2 linked regions of the Saccharomyces cerevisiae S288C genome follow. The protein of the gene in region 1 binds, or shares a complex with, the protein of each later gene. Each region holds a gene or a part of one and is shown on either strand. Other genes may lie near its edges. A codon is read from its position in the direction of its gene.

Region 1 (3,293 bases):
ATAATAAACAAAAAAAATACAAAATAACGTGGATGTATTAAACCAAAAACAAAATAAGACAACTCTAAAGCTGTCAAACAGAGATCTAACGGATTGAACCATGTCCAAAGTAATGAAACCCAGCAACGGAAAAGGTTCTAGAAAGAGTTCAAAAGCAGCCACACCTGATACTAAAAATTTCTTTCATGCAAAGAAAAAGGATCCGGTGAACCAAGATAAAGCAAATAATGCTTCTCAAATTACGCCAACAGTGCCACATTCTCATCCATCAGATATGGTTATCCCTGACCATTTAGCCGAATTGATTCCTGAGCTGTATTCTTTCCAACAACTGGTGGATTCCGAGAAAAGATTAGATCATTTTATTCATCTGCGAAACTTACATATGAAGCGAATGGTTGCGCAGTGGGAGAGGTCAAAGCTATCCCAAGAGTTTCTTTATCCTCATTTAAATTTTCCAAATGTAAAATTTCTCCGAATCTTCATTTCAAATGTTAGTGAAAACCAACCCTGGCAAATGGACACAAACAATGAGGCTGACCTTATGGCACTGGAGAATGCCACTTGGACGATGAGAATCGAAGGTCGATTATTGGACAATGTGCAAGCTAATGATCCAGCAAGAGAAAAATTTAGCTCATTCATAGAATCGATAGTGGTAGACTTCAAAAATAAGGAAAACGATAATGTGCCATCGACTAAATTTAATGCGGCCCCTGAAGAAAATGCCACCGAAGGACCCAGTGATAAGAAATTGAACTTAAACTTACCGTTACAATTTTCACTGCCGAATGGTGACAACTCTACTACGACTAATACCGACCAAAATAATGCCACGATGGGGGAGGAGACTGCCAAAAAGGATATGAGTTCTACAACTCCAAAACTAGAATCAGTGAAATGGCAGTATGACCCGAATAATCCTGTAGACTTCGATGGTCTCGATATTAAGAGGGTAGGGTCTGAAAATGTAGAATGCACTATAAGCATCCTGCGAAAATCATCCCCAGAAGAGCCATTTATGAGCTACTCTCCACAACTAACCGCAATAATAGGATTGAAGAGCGGTACATCACATGATGCAATATTTTCCATATATAAATACATCCATTTAAATGAATTGCTTACCAATGATGAGTCTGCATTCGAAAATTTGATGGGCAACAGGAACAATCACAATAGCAACACCAGTACTAGTAAGATGCTTGATGCAGCCTCCAGTCAAGTTTCTATTGTAAAATTAGACACTCAGCTTATTACCTTATTACCCAGCAGTCTTAAAGAATCTTCTCCAGATACAATGAAATTAACGGATTTACTGTCCCTTATTAATAGTACTCACCTGCTCCCATTACAGCCAATTGAAATTGATTACACAGTACGCGTTGATAAAGCTTCCACTTATGGTGAGTTGGTTCTTGATATTGAAGTACCTGATGTCAACGCTCTAAAATTCAATAATACACAAAGAGAAAGTCAAATTGGGGCTGCTGAATTGAATGAAAATGCCAGGGAATTGGAACAAATCAAACCCAAGATAGCTTTACAGGACAAAGAAATAACGTCCGTTCTCTCGAATCTACACGAGAGCAACAAACGATACCGTTTCTTCAAGAAAATTAGTGAGGACCCAGTTAAAGCATTAAATGAATGCATTGCTTCTACCTCGAATGCTTTGAAAGTTTTATCGGGAGATGAGGGCTATAATGAAGATATGGTAAGGCGGGCTAACTTTTACAAGGAAAATGAAGCTATGTTGCGCGAGAATATAGAAGTCATATTATCAAATGGACGAATGTAGGCTTCTTTACATTGATACACAATAGACTGAAGATTTATGTAGTTTTCTTTGTATATAAACTCTAGATAGGAAAAGAAAGGTCACCATTCATTTATAATAATTAAAGACGAACAGACAATGCTGATTTGTTTATAGCGCCTACAAGTAATGGCGGCTGTCTGATTCCATTGTCTCTTTCTAAGAAAAGCGCTGAAAATTTTCTACTGGAAATTTCAGAATATGAAAAAGTAGTAGAGATGAGGGCCACTTAAACACAATAAGCATATAAGGAACCAAGGGAAAAGCAACAAATGAGTGCTAACAATGGTGTCACTGGCAAACTCTCTAGTAGAGTCATGAATATGAAGTTTATGAAATTTGGTAAGACGGATGACGAAGAGAGTTCCAACTCCAATACGCCGTCTAATATCAACTCAGATGTGGAACCTATAGAGCAGAAAGGTAAACTCTTTGGTCTGGATGACTCAGCGTGGGACCTCAATAGCTACAAAGATGATTTAAAAAAAATTTCAGGTAAGGAGAAGAAAAAGGTGAAAAGAGTAGTATATAAGAAGCGACCCAATCTCATAATCTCCAACGTTGGTTACAGTGAACTGCGAAAACCTGAGGGTGTGATAAGTGGGAGAAAAACCTTTGGCGATAATTCTGATGATAGTGGTTCCAGGAAGAGAAAGTTTGATGAAGGCGAACAAAATGAAGACGAGAAAAGGGATGCTAAGGATAAGGAATTTACAGGGAGCCAAGACGATGGAGAGGATGAATATGACCTAGATAAATTATTTAAGGATAGCATCAAAAAGAAAAAGACCAACCATAATGGTAAAAATAAAAATAGAAATTCAAAAAAGTAGCGCAGACAATGCACCAGCAGAAGTACGTATTCGTATATAATAATGAGAACATAATATAAAGCATTGTGTAGTATTTTTTTCGTATTTGTCATAAACCATAAGGACTGCCGTCCTTTCTATTACGCTCAATTCCAAAACATATACAAAAACATGTAAATACACCACTTCTAATTTATCAGATAAATCTCTATCATCAATATCATTGAGATCGTTTTTGTATCTTTGCGTTTTTTTTCATAGCTTGAGTGTCGTCACTCTCCTTTTCGCTACTTCATTATTGCTACCTCATAACTTTCTCTCAAGCTCAAGCATCATCTATTTCTCGAAAAGTTGCGTTGGTGATCTCAAACTCTGCCCCTCCAGTATTAATAATGTTACTTTCAGTACATAAGACTTCAGTTCCATTCACAGAACTCGTCTCATGCACGCCATGCACTTTTATGGAATCTACGCTAGGTACAGATGTTTTTGTACCGTGGTTGCCAAACAAAGTTGTTTGATGTAAGTCTTCATCAACTACGTAGGGCGAAGAGATGGTGTCTCTTTTCGTTAGAAAATTGTCCTTCGCGTAATTGAAAAGCATGGAATGCAAATTGTGCTTATAGGAGAACTGTAAAATGTAAGAAAGCAGCACAATAAGG
Region 2 (2,838 bases), on another chromosome or scaffold:
ACTATCTTTTTATCCTGTGGCGTTTGTTCAATGATGGAGTTCAATCTTGACCTGATGGCAAATAACCTCAACCAATAACCTCTGTTAATACAGGGAGATCTTTTAATTTTCTTAGGAACAAAGAATTTAAAATATTCCAACAGTTTATTATTCTTATCCATTTGGAAATTATTAGCCGAACTCAGTTTTGGCAAATACAATAACTCTACCGATCTTTTAGAAGCAATTGAGGAGTTATTTGTGCCTTGAATCGCCAAATCAGCGTACTTTTTACGTCTTTCTTGTTTGACATTCTTGTTCGTTTGCTTTATAGTGGTCAGATTCTTCATCGTATTAGATATGTGCACTATAGTTGTCGAAATTTTATGGCCATATGTTAGATGTGATGAGATGAGATGAGATGAAACTTTTTTTCCTTCGCTTTTTCAAAGGACATTAAAAAAGGACGTGAAATATTGATGATATCTATGTGTTTATATATTTTAATTATACATGGTAGTCTACTCCTCCTTGACCGTAAGTATTTCTTTAAACTGTCTTTTTGCTATATCCTTGAACGCTGCCGTGTCGTTTTTTTGACAACACTCCATTATGGTTCTATAACAAGCTAAAGTGTTAGATAATTCCTCGCACTTAACCCAGATCTTCCCATTGAGACCAATGGCGACTTCAAACTTGGTATGTGCAGCCAACACTTTTAATAACGGGAAGTCATTATTGAAAAGCAACTGGCGTGCGAAATTCAAATTCACGTCAATGATCATACCATCTTCCAATATCCCGAAACCAGCATCGCGTCCTGTAGTTGAGTCAAAACATTCTATTTCGGCTTCTAGTTCCTTTTCTGCGGTACAAACTCTCGCATACACTAGATCTCCCACTTGCAAAGTTGGCCTGTTTTTCTTTGAAGCATTGGGAAAAGCCATATACGATAGTGAAACACTGGAGGAGAAATTTTGCAACGAAACCTTATAGCTATCTGAAAATGTCCCTATAATGACACCGATTACAAAATCGTTTACAGATGGAATGTATCTCTTACTAGAATAGTCTATATATGCGGTCTGAACACCACTCTTACCCTTAGCGGAAACATGCAAAACACCTGTATTAACAGGTCGTATTTCTTGAGTATTGGGGTCACAATATATGCCAGGGCCCAGTTTAACAGGTGTAGTAGGGTCTACAGGAAAGCTATCACCAGGGAATATGAACGTAGACATCTTGTATGCTCTTGGTTAGTCGAAATGCTGGAGATGAGCTGCTGAAGCATCCGTTTGTGCTGTTGGTTTAATATGCTTCTCTAAACCAAAAAATTTCAGCCGATCAGGTCCGGGTCACACCACTACCCTTACTAGTAAACAATGATGGCTTTCATTAAGGTAACTTTAAGTGAGGTGGATGGAACTAGTTTCCACGAAACTTCATCGAAGAGGTCTGGGGTTCTATGACGTATAATTAAAACTCTGGGAGGTTTTCGGAGGTTCCCGTAGGTCAATTCTTAAGGCTCTATGACATATTCTGGGAGCGGAGATATTTTCGGAGGTCCCCGTTAATAAGAGAAAAGTAGCCATATAAAAGAGAACAATGAAATATTGCCCCAGAGAGTGGGTTCAAAAGCATGAAAAGGAACAGTATAACGCAGTATAACGCAGTATAACGCAGTATAACGCAGTATGGCAGTTAAAGGATTAGGCAAACCAGATCAAGTTTATGACGGTTCCAAAATCAGGGTCGGTATCATTCATGCCCGTTGGAACCGTGTCATTATTGACGCTCTTGTGAAAGGTGCTATTGAAAGAATGGCTTCCCTTGGTGTCGAGGAAAATAACATAATAATTGAAACTGTTCCTGGATCCTATGAATTACCTTGGGGGACAAAAAGGTTTGTTGACAGACAAGCGAAGTTGGGAAAGCCGCTAGATGTTGTAATTCCTATTGGTGTACTTATCAAAGGTAGTACAATGCACTTTGAATACATTTCAGATTCCACCACTCACGCATTGATGAACTTACAAGAAAAAGTCGACATGCCCGTCATTTTTGGCCTCTTAACTTGCATGACTGAAGAACAAGCCCTGGCCAGAGCTGGCATCGATGAAGCGCACTCCATGCACAACCATGGTGAAGATTGGGGTGCTGCAGCAGTGGAAATGGCTGTTAAGTTCGGTAAAAATGCTTTTTGAATAAGCGCAGAGAAATCTATACTATATATGTATATATACTCACTATAGAAGAAGCCCGCTCTTTGATTGTTTCCTCTTACGGTGCTTCAATGCATCTTTCATTTTGCGCCTCATATCACGGGTCCAATTACCTCTGTTAGCCCAGAACTCCTCATCCCAGTTCGATAGCATTGTTTCTCTTCCAGGAGCCCTTACTTTACTCAACTGTGTTTGTCCTACTAAAAATGGCGATTGCAAATGAGGGAAAAACAAGAAATTTTTGTTATCTTTATCTCTAGATACATGTGGTACGGGAGCCGATGTCAAACCTAGGGTGTCAGATGATTTACTTACTTCTTCCTCCAGTTGGTTCACATCAACATCTTTCGCATGATCAATATCATTATCAGAATCTTCAATCAATTTGAATTGTGATACAGGTTCTGCCTCGTTGGGGTTGAATAGGTTTCTTAACGTCTCAGTGTTGCTTATTGTACCTTGACCAATTTCCTTGGTGAAAGTCGGAATAAATTCATTATCCTCCTGCCCGTCGCCCTCGTCCTGTTCTTTCCTTTCCTCTGGTTTTTCTTGTGGTAGGGTGCTCTGGTCCTTCGTCTTATTAACATTCTCGTATTCGGGAGCGTTTACTTCTTTTTCTTCTTCTTCTTCTTCT

What was found.
Region 2: the proteins of MPP6 (region 1) and RRP40 are in contact, whole or in part, in a crystal structure (PDB 5OKZ), measured with the Saccharomyces cerevisiae proteins. Residues at the interface, in NP_014421.3 of Saccharomyces cerevisiae: Ile109 (codon at 2,416), Ser110 (codon at 2,419), Gly111 (codon at 2,422), Arg112 (codon at 2,425), Lys113 (codon at 2,428), Thr114 (codon at 2,431), Phe115 (codon at 2,434), Gly116 (codon at 2,437), Asp117 (codon at 2,440); in NP_014499.2 of Saccharomyces cerevisiae: Phe71 (codon at 1,013), Tyr120 (codon at 866), Gly146 (codon at 788), Gly148 (codon at 782), Ile149 (codon at 779), Leu150 (codon at 776), Leu167 (codon at 725), Phe168 (codon at 722), Leu175 (codon at 701), Ala179 (codon at 689), Thr182 (codon at 680), Lys183 (codon at 677), Phe184 (codon at 674), Glu185 (codon at 671), Val186 (codon at 668), Ala187 (codon at 665), Ile188 (codon at 662), Trp195 (codon at 641).

Annotation. Positions count from the first base shown.
Region 1 is NC_001146.8:670,318-673,610, forward strand, and holds MPP6 (Mpp6p), read left to right. Parts: upstream 1-2,091; coding exon 2,092-2,652; downstream 2,653-3,293. Other genes in the region: SNF12 (Snf12p), read left to right, coding at 101-1,801; Sar family guanine nucleotide exchange factor SEC12, read right to left, coding at 2,957-3,293. UniProt on the Saccharomyces cerevisiae protein: RNA-binding protein that associates with the RNA exosome complex. Involved in surveillance of pre-rRNAs and pre-mRNAs, and the degradation of cryptic non-coding RNAs (ncRNA) derived from intergenic regions and the ribosomal DNA spacer heterochromatin.
Region 2 is NC_001147.6:53,943-56,780, reverse strand, and holds RRP40 (exosome non-catalytic core subunit RRP40), read right to left. Parts: upstream 1,224-2,838; coding exon 501-1,223; downstream 1-500. Other genes in the region: tRNA methyltransferase PPM2, read right to left, coding at 1-329; lumazine synthase RIB4, read left to right, coding at 1,677-2,186; NOP8 (Nop8p), read right to left, coding at 2,229-2,838. UniProt on the Saccharomyces cerevisiae protein: Non-catalytic component of the RNA exosome complex which has 3'->5' exoribonuclease activity and participates in a multitude of cellular RNA processing and degradation events.